Linked DNA regions of Saccharomyces cerevisiae S288C. The protein of the gene in region 1 purifies or fractionates together with the protein of each later gene. This does not show direct contact. Each region holds a gene or a part of one and is shown on either strand. Other genes may lie near its edges. The genes, in order: CSI2 and SBE22.

Region 1 (3,916 bases):
CTATATCGATGCCATCAGAAGGGATTACACGAGAAATTTGAAAAGCAAAGTTATGCTAGAGCGCCAAAAGGCCGTAGCCATTTATTTGATCGATGTATTCGCTTTAAGAGCCGGTGGTGAAAAATCCGAAGATGAAGCCGATACTGTGGGTTGTTGTTCATTGCGATATGAGCATGTTACTTTGAAACCTCCGAATACTGTTATCTTTGATTTCTTAGGTAAGGATTCTATTAGATTTTATCAAGAGGTAGAAGTTGACAAACAAGTTTTCAAAAATTTGACAATTTTTAAAAGGCCGCCCAAACAGCCAGGACATCAACTGTTTGATCGTCTAGATCCATCTATACTGAACAAATATCTACAAAACTACATGCCGGGATTGACTGCTAAAGTTTTCCGTACATATAATGCTTCCAAAACAATGCAAGATCAACTGGATCTAATTCCAAATAAAGGATCTGTCGCAGAGAAAATATTGAAGTACAACGCAGCAAATAGAACTGTAGCCATCCTATGTAACCATCAAAGGACTGTCACGAAGGGGCATGCACAAACAGTGGAAAAGGCCAATAATAGAATACAAGAGTTGGAATGGCAAAAGATTCGTTGCAAGAGGGCCATTTTACAATTGGATAAGGATCTTTTAAAGAAAGAGCCAAAATATTTCGAAGAAATCGACGATTTGACGAAAGAAGATGAAGCCACCATTCACAAGAGAATTATTGATAGAGAAATTGAAAAATATCAGCGAAAATTTGTTAGGGAGAACGATAAGAGGAAATTTGAAAAGGAAGAATTATTGCCGGAAAGTCAATTGAAGGAATGGTTGGAGAAAGTCGACGAAAAGAAACAAGAATTCGAAAAGGAATTGAAAACCGGTGAAGTGGAACTGAAATCAAGTTGGAATTCAGTCGAAAAAATAAAAGCACAAGTAGAGAAATTAGAACAGCGTATCCAAACTAGTTCCATTCAGTTGAAAGATAAAGAGGAAAACTCCCAGGTTTCACTGGGCACTTCCAAAATCAATTATATAGACCCTAGACTTTCTGTGGTATTTTGCAAAAAGTATGATGTTCCGATTGAAAAGATTTTTACAAAAACCCTAAGAGAAAAATTCAAATGGGCCATAGAATCGGTAGATGAAAATTGGAGGTTTTAACGCAAAGAAACGCAGCATAGGGGAGAAGCAAATACATTCACGCATCAAGTTCGCATTAGGGTTACTAGGAAGATATCTTATACACATATATAGAAATAATTTAAAACTTTTAAAGAGTATACTGCAGTGTAATCATGCCACAGTTACTTTACCCCTCCTATTATTTCTTAGTTACCTGCATATAAGAAACGTATTGTCCGTATCTCTTGATGTTTTGGAAGCAAAAATACTTGGAACCTTTGCAAGAATGCATGCTCAGTGACACGGCTTGAATCCGTCCCTTGTCGCATGTATGCCCTTCGAAATTTTGGCGGTTTTCGCGTTTTCTGCGTGTAAGTGTGGCAGGATCGCGAAAAAAAAGTAATTAGCGTAGACAAGAATTACACGAAAAGTCGTCAACACAGCGCCGTCTGTAAGGAAGAACCGCTCTATTGAAATAGAAGCCACGAAATGCTAAGCTGAATCAAACAAATTCAGATCATAATTTCCTGTTCTAGATGGGGCCTTCCGTTCTATTAAAAGTGTCTGCTGAAAAAGAAAAAGATTTGCATCCATGCTTCCTCCAATATAAGGATGTGAGATACGTAGTACATCTTAGCTTGCTTTATTTTACAAATAACACATCAGCAGAAGGACGCTTTACGGTGAAACAGGAAAGTCTTTAACTATTAATAGGGAAAAGATTGTCAACATAAACTAGTAACGACACAATGAGACTGCCAGAAATCTCCATTTGGAAAGTGATACTACTACTTCATTTGTTTGCTCTACAAGAATTTCAACTTGTCTCCGCTGCAAATTTGCCCTCTTTATCAAGTAGTACAAAGGCAGCAGATAGTTCTAGTAAAGGCAGCTCTTCAGCCAAGACAACCACGTCCTTAGGCAAAAGCTCAGTAACCAGTAAGGATGTTTCGTCAAGTCATAATGTCACTTCAAGCACTAAAATGCCCAAAATCACCACGAGCGCTAGTACAAGCTTATACACCAACTCTAGTTTATGGAGCAACAACAGTGTAATATCAACTTCATCTATTACACCTTCCAGCGTTTATATCCCGGTTACGGACGGAAATAAATTCTTATATCAGGCTCATCATCCTAACGGTACTGTGTTCATTGCATTTGCTGGCTGTTTAGGTGCAATTCTACTATCACTGACGGGTGCATGGATTGCATTGAATATAAAGTCATGGCGAAGTGCTAGAAAGGAAAATAAGCTGAGAAATCTAGAAAATCAATACCAACACGATCCTTTCTACTTCCAAACAAACATTAATGACGACGAAAGTGAAACATCTTCCCATTCTGACGACAGTGACATATCAGAAAAAGTTCTGAAAAATAACTCATCTCGTATGAGTTTGTATACTCTAGGATCCACTTCTGTTTTGAATCTTTTGAACAATAAAACAGATGCCAACGATAACTTCAGATCATCTATGTTTATTTCACCCACCGAAATTCTGCAATCTGATGCCAACAACTCTAATACATGGTCTCAAAGCAATGAGAGTGCTATATATGATTCCTTGTCCAGTACTCCAAGGGAACCTGGTGCTACCCAAATACTGGGAAAGTTTACAGACAGCACTAATCCATTCAATTATACATCATACAATTTAAGTCCCGACTCTGAAGACCGCTCTACTCCAAAATCAAATGTTAGTCAGGGTAAAGTAAAGAAGTACCGTCCTCCCAGTGTTCATCTGGATCAACTGCTCGACGGTAAGGAATAATTGCGTCCCCACCTTTCTACACCTCATTTACACTAAGTGCGACTCGAAAACCTAATACTTCAATTAATGAGAGGATACGTGTAAATTCCTCGCCATCACCATGCGCTGTTTTTAGTACACCATTCTTTTTTCGCATACAGATACAAGCACTAAACTGATCGTACTTTGCCAATGAATAAAATGGTGCATCTGCGTATCAACTTGTTGATTGCGACGGAAGACCAGGAAATTTTGCAGCAAAATATATTTGTTTGTATCCTCCGCCCCTACTGGAGCTTGTTAGAAAGCTTAAATACTATAAACATAACTATACAGAAAAATCTTGTTCTATAGTCTAAAAATTTAACCATGCATACGCTTATCCTGGATGGCATGATCTTTGTTATCTGAAATTATACGGAAGATATCACGGAGAGCCTTCTTTAGAAGAAGGTTTTAGCATTGCTAATCTTACTAAATGGTATGCTCTTTTGGCAAATGCGTTCATCACCAATTCAGTCACAGTTTTCGCAAATATTAGAGAGACACTGTTATATATCCGAGATTTGAATTTAAATCTTAATAGAAGTTCTACCATGGCCGCATTTGGTCTATTTGGGTGAGGCATTATGGTCCATTTCGAAATCAAAAGGTGAAACAAATTATGAGATATTGTTTCTGCAACAACGGTATACGTATGATCAGTATCTTTACAGGTAACATTGCATATAAATTCCTCATCGTATTGTTTGAAACCAACTCGAAGCCCCGCAATGAGAGGCTTGTTATCCACAGGATTTCGTTTATCTACAAACGAATCAACACAATAAGGAATAAATTCCTTATATTGGGCAACTTCTGACACTGCAGCGTAGACTGTGCTTGGAGGGGCGTTTATGGCCTTGCGCAAAACATATCGCTGTTCCCTAATAGTGTGATTGGTACCGCTCAAACCAAAAAAATTTCTTTTAAGAGGATATCTCCCAATTGGCTTGAGCATCGCTTTCCTGAATAATATCAATGTCTGTGAGGGCCTTATTAT
Region 2 (10,468 bases), on another chromosome or scaffold:
CCAGTATAGTCCTCAAATACTTGTCATAATGGCGGAATGCTTCTTTACGTTCATTAGTGTCCTCTGGTAACTTAGGGTACTCTATTATAATCACTCTTTTTTCGCTATCAATAAAGGGCTGGAAATCTTCTGTATTATTACCTCGTAAGTTCAACACCTGGTCTACGTTACAATACTCCTTTACAAACTCTGCAAGATCATAGTATAAATCTTGAGGCAATAGGTCTACCTTTTCGAACTTAATCGCGGTTGAACTCCGTCTTATATATCTCTGTAACGAAACAAACTCTGTTTCAAATTCCAAGAAGTCCAATTTCCTCAGGCCTGGTTGATTAATAAACACATAAGTGTCAGCATTACATACACCTAAGAATTTCTCAGCCGCTTCAATAAAGGTGTCTCTTGGTAAAGTCACAGCCCTATCATAATCCTCTTGATACTTTAAAATACCGGGAGTTCTATCCAAAAGTACAAATATGTGTATAACATCTAGTTAGTAAGAAAAATGAAAGTTACTAAAGATTAATGTTTCTTGTTCTACATACAGTTTGTAAGAGAAGAATATTGCAGGAACATTGGTCTGGTTTTGCAATTCCTCCGAAGCACAAAAGCTTCCACACATAATAAGCAACAAATATTTCAACACAGTTTGCATCTTGCCTTGCTACTCCTAATTAGTATGCGCCTACGTTTCCTAACTACAAAACAGATAGGTATAACCTGCAACTTAACCTCCGCTGCTGATATTCTTGGCCGTAGTTAAGAGAGGTTTACATTACTACAGAGCTAACCCGTGTTGCATGATATCATCGATATAATTAAAGAATGCACATATGTCAGCGGTACTATCGCATACAATGCTCTATCAGAACTCTAGATAACGTTAGAACATATCCTCCCAGGTTTCGCCACATCTGTGGCCTCGTTACTCTATTCGTTTCACTCTTTCTTATCTATTTACAGCCCATCGAGCAACATTATCATGCCACACGTCGATCTCAGGCCGATCTGACAATCTTTAAAGGCATCAACAAGAGCAGCAGCTTGCCGACGTGGCAAAAGTCAAAGAAGAACAGAGGCAACTCGTCCTACGTGAAGCCACATACAACAAGTTAGGAACTATTAGGCGGAACCGCTTTCTAAGGAGCTTACTACTTTTAACAGTACTACTTTTAACAGTACACAGATAAAGAAACAAAAAGTATAAATTTGGGCGCCATCGACTGGCAAGCAAAACACGTATAGAGAACAGGCAGTAATGACGACGAAGCCACAAAATAGTAAGCAGGGTTTAGCCGAAGGAGAGATGGATGTGAGTTCACTTTTCAAGAGAACGGAAGTTATTGGGCGAGGGAAATTTGGTGTGGTTTATAAGGGCTATAACGTGAAGACTGGACGAGTGTATGCTATCAAAGTCTTAAATTTAGATTCTGATTCTGACGAGGTGGAGGATGTGCAGCGAGAAATTCAGTTTTTGGCCTCCTTGAAACAGATTTCCAATATCACGCGGTATTATGGGTCGTATTTGAAAGACACAAGCCTTTGGATCATAATGGAACACTGCGCTGGTGGTTCACTGCGTTCGTTGTTAAGGCCAGGCAAAATCGATGAAAAGTACATTGGGGTTATTATGAGAGAACTGCTTGTAGCATTAAAATGCATTCATAAAGATAACGTCATTCATCGAGATATCAAAGCAGCAAACGTTCTGATCACTAACGAAGGTAATGTTAAACTATGCGATTTTGGTGTCGCTGCACAAGTAAACCAAACTTCTTTACGACGTCAAACTATGGCTGGGACCCCCTACTGGATGGCTCCAGAAGTGATCATGGAAGGCGTTTATTACGACACTAAAGTAGATATATGGTCTTTAGGTATTACAACGTACGAGATTGCCACCGGAAATCCGCCATACTGCGATGTGGAGGCCCTAAGGGCAATGCAACTAATCATCAAATCGAAACCACCGAGGCTTGAGGACAGATCATACAGTACATCTTTGAAAGAATTTATTGCGCTTTGTCTTGATGAGGATCCAAAGGAGAGATTGTCAGCAGACGATCTTTTAAAATCAAAATTTATCAGGGCCCACAAGGCGACGCCAACGTCCATTTTGAAAGAACTAATATCACGATATCTACTATTTAGGGACAAGAATAAAAACAAATATAAAATAGAGGGCAGTATACCGGAAAATGAGCCATCAAAACCCAGTGAAGCTCCAAAACCATCACAAAATGGCGGGGGTGATGAAGCACAAAAGTCAATAGCATCAAATGATAATGAAATTAAGAGAGTGAACGAAGGCGATGTGGAAATGAAATGGGATTTTGATTCATTGAGTTCGTCGGATTATATTATTGAAAATAATATCAACCTCGATGCTTTGGCTGAGGACAACAACGAGTGGGCTACTGCCCAACATGACCTGTTCAACTATGCATACCCTGACGAAGATTCTTATTACTTTGACCCTACAAGTCATAATACTAGACCCTTTGTTTATCAAGGGACAACGATAGGAAAGGGCTATCCTGGTACAATAGCTCAAAATTCTACTTTGAATGCACCAGTAACAAATAACTATACGAACTCAAAATACCCTTCCAAAATGGTAGCTGGAACTACAAACACCTCTGGAACACATACGGCCGGTCCAATGACATCATCTAAGAGGCTGGAAAGTAAGGCTCCAAAACAATTACTTGAACTTTTTGAAGACAATGAAATTATTACTGCTGAAAATGATGTCAATACAGAAGCTCCTAAAATAAGCAAATCCATTTCATCTCTAAATGCTGGTAATAGTTCACGAGATGATTTCATTCCCTCAATATCCAACGAGGTCAACGGAAATATCAATAATAATAAAATGCGACCACACCTTCCACCTTTATCCAGTGGGAACAATTATTATAGCCAGAGTACACCTGCTTTGCCGCTACTCCAAACAAAATTTAACAAGACGTCAAAGGGCCCTCCAACAAGTGGATTAACTACTGCTCCAACGTCTATTGAAATAGAAATTCCTGAAGAACTACCGAATAGTGCTCTACCAACGCCTGCGAGCGCAGATCCGGTTTTAATACCAAGCACAAAGGCCAGGTCATCTACAGTGACGGCTGGCACTCCTTCGTCATCTAGCTCAATACAATATAAATCACCTTCAAACGTGCCCAGGCGGTTGACAGTCAGTAACAATAGGCCAGAACATTGCCCAAGCACCATAACAAATCAAAAATTGGGGTCCGCAGTTGCTTCTAATTCCGGAATCAGCTCCACTCCGAACAACAGTAATAACTATAACAACAACACTGATAGTGAGAACTCAAGAGGAAGCAGCGGTAGTAACACTGCAAATAGCACACAAATGGGCATAACCAATCCAGGTAATGTAACAAAGTTATCTACTCATAAGGCTTCTTCACCCTCAAGGCCACTATTTGGAGTTGGAACTTCTCCCAATAGAAAGCCTGCCGGTTCCCCAACCCAAAACATTGGTCATAATTCTACTCACACGAACCTCGCGCCTCCTCCTACGATGAAACCAATGGCCAATAGCAAAGATAACAAGGACATTCTCTTGCAACCTCTGAACAGCATACCTAGTTCTTCTACACTTAACACTATTAGTGGTAATAGCAGCAATAATTTAACCTCATCAAACTACTTTTCCAACGAAAAGGAAGGCTCAAGGGTCAATGGTGACTTTAAACGCAACAACCCAAACTTAAAACTACAAATGCCACTACCTACACCTGTTGTGAGAAATAAACTTCTTGATCCAAATACAGCAACCTCACAGAATAACAATGGCATGCCGGGGAGCGCTGGCATATCCACGAACGAAAATATTAATCAATTTGGATTTAACACAAGCAGTGCGTCCAACATCCCTGTCTCAATGACTCCAATTAGTGAGAAACACATTGATTTTGGGGGCAAGATCAAGAGAAGTCAAAGCATTTCTAACAGGAAGAACTCTTCTGCCTCGGAACACCCATTGAATATTCTTGGCTCATCTGTTTCCGGCAATGTTTCCGGTATCGGTAACAACAATGTTGGCTCTAACAACAACAGCGGCCCTAATAACAGTGTTCCTCTTTCTGCTAATACAGGAAACACTACTATCAAAGCCAATTCTACGACTATCGCAACTTCAAGTTCTGCCGCGGCATCAACGACTGCACCAATTTCACAACAGACTATTCCATCCGGAACACAATTCAATCATATTCTGAGTTCCGCCGCAACAGCTGCAAACTCGGTTAATTCTTTAGGCTTTGGCATGTGTCCTCCTCCACAGAGTTTACAAATGGAAATGTTCTTGGACTTAGAATCGTTTCTGCCAGGAAAACAGAGGCGGGTAGACAGGAAACCCCAGGTTCTGAAAGAACTGGAAAATCTTTTACAAATGTTCGAAGAAGGTTTGCCCTGCATTGAACACGCTTTAAAGGAACAACTTATTTCAACGCCTATCAAGGATAATGAGCATTAAAAGCATCGTCTAGTTTATTCTTTTGTTTATGTACATATTCAAGAAAAATAAGCAAGATGTAAGAAAAGTGAAAGTATATATTTTCTACAGAACTTAACAAGTCCCTTTAAGCACCACATGGAACTCGACTGCGCAAGGTTAGCGCTTTACGGACTTTATTGCTATTCTAGTTCAAAGAAAGCAAATGGCGCAGTTACCAAACCTCGCCATTTGTTTTTTCCGTTATTTTTTCTTCTTATAAACGCGCCTAGAAGAAAAAACCGTGCGAAGCGCAAATCCTGAGAAAGCGCTAAGGAGGTTTCAACCAATGTTTACCACTTGAAATTTTAGCATTCTCATCACTGTAAGAGAGATAATTATCCTGTAAACATTCCAAAATACCTTTTGTAACGCTGATTGTTGTATTTGTTACCCCAGAATTGCCATATATAGTGGAGAAGAAATCGAAAAGGTCATATACAGCAGAACCAAAAAAAATAATACATTCGTTGATCCTTTACCGTTTTCAAGAGTGAAACGTGATCGTGTTTATACTTTTTCGACTCAAATTTGTCCTTATCTTTAGTTAATACGGTCTAACTTGCCACGCTACTCAAGAAATGACCTCGATTCAGGAGCGAGGCACAAGCGCTCATCTGCATTCGCTTAAAGAAGGTGAGGCTAGTGATCGTTCCAGCGAGATGCTTCCTAAACAAAGAAGTATCATAGGATCCCACGTGCAACGTCCACCGTCTCAAACAACTTTAGGAAGGTCAAGGGCTGGAAGCAATACAATGAATAAAGTTTCAGGCTTAGATATTGCTCGAAGACCAAGTGAGAATTTATTATCAAACATGAACTGTAGCGACAACGGCAATGGGGGAAATATGCTAAATTCATTCGTTAACTCGGCTTTACCACCGCCAAAAGTCAACCCTGCTCAAACAAGACGTGAACGTCCCGCTTCAAATAGCTCAATAGGTACCAAGACTACCGAGGTATTTTCATCCACTTCTGCATCTTCCTCCTTGGGAGATACCAGCGATGAGGGAGAAGGCAGTGATGCCGACAAATCTAAAATAAATACTTTTCCCAGCATATTGATGGAAAAGGCTACTCAAGGTAGAGGCGCTGATGGAAATGGAATGAGAAGCGCAAGCAATAATACCATTGTGGAAGCAACTACGGACGGTTCCAAAATGGCACTGCAAAAAAGCATGTCGTTTGATGATACAGCCGCAGAGAAAACTATGAATAAATCTAGACATTCTTACCAAGAACAGTTCTCCTCGAAGAAAAGCCAGTCATCTTTACTGAACAGCAAGCAAAGATCACGTGCTAAATCGCAAACATGCTCGTCTACGGGTTATAACAACAGCAGCATTCTGAAAACGTTTGGCATAAGCTCCAAAATTTCTAATTCAAGTGATCGGATAGAGGCTTCGTCATTAGAATTTAACGTTCCATCTCAGAAACCTTTGAATTGCAAGCCATTAACTCCGTCTCAGAAATACAGACTTCGTAAAGAGCAATCGGAGATGAATTTAAGAAATACAATCAAAAGAAAAGAGAAATTTTATGATAGTCAAGAACAAATTCTTGAGTTACAAGAGGGAGACGTTGATGATTCGTTGATTTGGAACGTTCCTATGGCATCATTATCTACTAATTCATTTCTAGCGTCTGCTAAGCCCGATGATATGAATAACTTGGCTGGCAAGAATGACTTATCAGAATATACCGGAGGTTTGGTAAATGATAACTCTGAAATTTCTTATACAAAACAAAATCATAGGTACTCGAACATCTCTTTTGCGAGTACAACATCAAACGCCTCATTATTGGACTTTAATGAGATGCCTACGTCTCCGATTCCAGGTTTGAACAAAGTAACTGATTTTCAGTTCATTCAAGACACAACCAAGAGTCTAGCCTCTGTTTATTTGCATTCTTCCAATAGGCTTTCAAGATCTAAGCTGTCCGAAAGAACAAAGTCTTCCGATTTCTTGCCAATTGAACTAAAAGAAGCTCAAAATCAAGGCATGGAAGATTTGATACTTGTCTCGGAGAACAAACTAGATGTGGTCAGCCATTCAAGACCGAGTTGGTTACCACCCAAGGATCGCCAGGAAAAAAAGCTTCATGAAAGGCAAATTAACAAAAGCATGAGTGTTGCTTCCCTTGACCAACTAGGAAAAAATAAAGACAGAGAAGAAAAGTTGATTAGAGATGAAACAAATAGGCAAAAATATGTGTTATTATTGGACAGAGATATAACTAGAAACTCCTCCTTACAAAGCCTAAGTAAAATGGTTTGGGACACTCCATTTAGTGACGAAACTAGGTCAACAATTTACAGCGAAATTTTACAGAGCAAGACTAGGTTTATTACCAAAAACTATATTCAACCATTTCATGAGCTACAGGAGCTTTTAACAAAAATGGGAGACTTTCCTAAAAACAAGGAAATTGAAATATCGCAGCTAATCGAAACAAGTTTGAGGCGAAAAGTGAGCGGTTTACATGATATATGTCCTGATTTGATGCTTTTATTGAAGATAAAATCTATCTCATCACAGGGTATAGTCACCGGTGATGAACTCCTTTTCCATCATTTCTTGGTGAGTGAATCATTTCAGAACCTGGGGCTAAACGAGATTTGGAATATTGTTAATTTAGTACAAATGACGTGTTTTAATGATCTTTGTAAAGAAAAGTTCGATGCAAAGGTTTTAGAACGTAAGGGTGTCGTAGCCGGTTATTTATCGCAAAACGAGGAGTTCAAGGATGAATTTAATACGGAGTGTATAAACTCTACCACCTGGTGGAACATCCTAGAACGTATTGATCATAAGCTTTTTATGTGGATCATGGATATTATAGTAGTCAACAATTCCCAGAGCTACAAAAATAGCCCAATCAACGAAGATGAGTTTGTTAACAAGGATTGGGAATATTACCGCTCGAAGAAAGTGGTAATAAACTACAAGATCTTGATTTCATTTGCATTAAATGTATTGTTAAATTACCACTTTGGATTCACTGATTTAAGAAGTCTTTGTAACGTGAATGACCAGAGATTTTGCATTCCAGTATTCATCAATGATGAATTCGTAGACGCAGATACTGTAAATGCCGTGTTCATCAAGAAATGGGCGCATTACTACAAGAAGTTTTGATATTTTTTGTAACTGTAATTTCACTCATGCACAAGAAAAAAAAAACTGGATTAAAAGGGAGCCCAAGGAAAACTCCTCAGCATATATTTAGAAGTCTCCTCAGCATATAGTTGTTTGTTTTCTTTACACATTCACTGTTTAATAAAACTTTTATAATATTTCATTATCGGAACTCTAGATTCTATACTTGTTTCCCAATTGTTGCTGGTAGTAAACGTATACGTCATAAAAGGGAAAAGCCACATGCGGAAGAATTTTATGGAAAAAAAAAAAACCTCGAAGTTACTACTTCTAGGGGGCCTATCAAGTAAATTACTCCTGGTACACTGAAGTATATAAGGGATATAGAAGCAAATAGTTGTCAGTGCAATCCTTCAAGACGATTGGGAAAATACTGTAATATAAATCGTAAAGGAAAATTGGAAATTTTTTAAAGATGTCTTCACTGGTTACTCTTAATAACGGTCTGAAAATGCCCCTAGTCGGCTTAGGGTGCTGGAAAATTGACAAAAAAGTCTGTGCGAATCAAATTTATGAAGCTATCAAATTAGGCTACCGTTTATTCGATGGTGCTTGCGACTACGGCAACGAAAAGGAAGTTGGTGAAGGTATCAGGAAAGCCATCTCCGAAGGTCTTGTTTCTAGAAAGGATATATTTGTTGTTTCAAAGTTATGGAACAATTTTCACCATCCTGATCATGTAAAATTAGCTTTAAAGAAGACCTTAAGCGATATGGGACTTGATTATTTAGACCTGTATTATATTCACTTCCCAATCGCCTTCAAATATGTTCCATTTGAAGAGAAATACCCTCCAGGATTCTATACGGGCGCAGATGACGAGAAGAAAGGTCACATCACCGAAGCACATGTACCAATCATAGATACGTACCGGGCTCTGGAAGAATGTGTTGATGAAGGCTTGATTAAGTCTATTGGTGTTTCCAACTTTCAGGGAAGCTTGATTCAAGATTTATTACGTGGTTGTAGAATCAAGCCCGTGGCTTTGCAAATTGAACACCATCCTTATTTGACTCAAGAACACCTAGTTGAGTTTTGTAAATTACACGATATCCAAGTAGTTGCTTACTCCTCCTTCGGTCCTCAATCATTCATTGAGATGGACTTACAGTTGGCAAAAACCACGCCAACTCTGTTCGAGAATGATGTAATCAAGAAGGTCTCACAAAACCATCCAGGCAGTACCACTTCCCAAGTATTGCTTAGATGGGCAACTCAGAGAGGCATTGCCGTCATTCCAAAATCTTCCAAGAAGGAAAGGTTACTTGGCAACCTAGAAATCGAAAAAAAGTTCACTTTAACGGAGCAAGAATTGAAGGATATTTCTGCACTAAATGCCAACATCAGATTTAATGATCCATGGACCTGGTTGGATGGTAAATTCCCCACTTTTGCCTGATCCAGCCAGTAAAATCCATACTCAACGACGATATGAACAAATTTCCCTCATTCCGATGCTGTATATGTGTATAAATTTTTACATGCTCTTCTGTTTAGACACAGAACAGCTTTAAATAAAATGTTGGATATACTTTTTCTGCCTGTGGTGTCATCCACGCTTTTAATTCATCTCTTGTATGGTTGACAATTTGGCTATTTTTTAACAGAACCCAACGGTAATTGAAATTAAAAGGGAAACGAGTGGGGGCGATGAGTGAGTGATACTAAAATAGACACCAAGAGAGCAAAGCGGTCCCAAAATCATTTGAGTAACCGGATATCTATCGGGATATTAATAGCAGCTTCCATTTCAACTAAAACAACAGCAAGATATGAGCGACAAGATATCCTTTCTACCTCCCGAACCCATCCAACTACTTGACGAAGACTCCACGGAGCCTGAACTCGACATTGACTCACAACAAGAAAATGAGGGACCCATCAGTGCGTCAAACAGCAATGATAGCACTAGCCATAGTAATGATTGCGGTGCCACAATTACCAGAACAAGACCTAGACGAAGCAGTTCTATCAATGCAAACTTTAGTTTTCAAAAGGCTCATGTCAGCGATTGCACCATAGTCAATGGCGACCATGGAACAAAGTTTGCTGTCTGGAGAATTACCGTATTTCTTGAACCCAACTTGAAGGCTTTTGCGGCCAAGAGGGAAAGCTATAAAATCCAAACCTATAAACGATACTCCGATTTCGTCAGATTACGAGAGAATTTGCTCACAAGAATCAAGACAGCGAAACCTGAGAAACTTAACTGTTTGCAGATTCCACACCTTCCCCCTTCAGTGCAGTGGTACAGTTCTTGGAAATATCAAGAAGTGAATCTGAACAAGGACTGGCTGGCAAAAAGACAGAGAGGGCTCGAGTACTTCCTCAATCACATCATCCTTAACAGCAGCCTCGTAGAAATGACCAAAGATATACTCATACAGTTTCTAGAGCCTTCAAAACGAGTTGCATAGCTCACCATCCCTATCCAACCGACTATTCTTCTCATCGACTACTACTATCCCATTTAACTCGGGCGCGTTGTTAATTAATCACTCGATGGGGAATGCCTTGAGCTGACCGCAATGAAAACTTTTAGGGGATCGTCCAACATTAAAGGAAGAACGAAACGGACTCCACAGTTTCTAATATAAATAAACAATGATAAAACATATAGTTTCGCCATTCAGGACGAATTTTGTTGGCATCAGCAAGTCCGTGCTGTCAAGGATGATTCATCACAAGGTTACAATCATAGGTTCTGGCCCCGCTGCCCACACCGCTGCTATATACTTGGCAAGAGCAGAGATGAAGCCCACATTATATGAGGGAATGATGGCCAACG

The links.
Region 2: the proteins of CSI2 (region 1) and SBE22 purify together in Saccharomyces cerevisiae (affinity purification with mass spectrometry, with the first as the bait; one large-scale study listed by BioGRID). This does not show direct contact.

The regions. Positions count from the first base shown.
Region 1 is NC_001147.6:310,321-314,236, reverse strand, and holds CSI2 (Csi2p), read left to right. Parts: upstream 1-1,869; coding exon 1,870-2,895; downstream 2,896-3,916. Other genes in the region: TOP1 (DNA topoisomerase 1), read left to right, coding at 1-1,159; ubiquinone-binding protein COQ10, read right to left, coding at 3,302-3,916. UniProt on the Saccharomyces cerevisiae protein: Appears to be a structural component of the chitin synthase 3 complex.
Region 2 is NC_001140.6:315,314-325,781, forward strand, and holds SBE22 (Sbe22p), read left to right. Parts: upstream 1-5,100; coding exon 5,101-7,659; downstream 7,660-10,468. Other genes in the region: BIG1 (Big1p), read right to left, coding at 1-458, 546-655; putative serine/threonine protein kinase KIC1, read left to right, coding at 1,259-4,501; GRE3 (trifunctional aldehyde reductase/xylose reductase/glucose 1-dehydrogenase (NADP(+))), read left to right, coding at 8,096-9,079; YPT35 (Ypt35p), read left to right, coding at 9,453-10,097; thioredoxin-disulfide reductase TRR2, read left to right, coding at 10,285-10,468.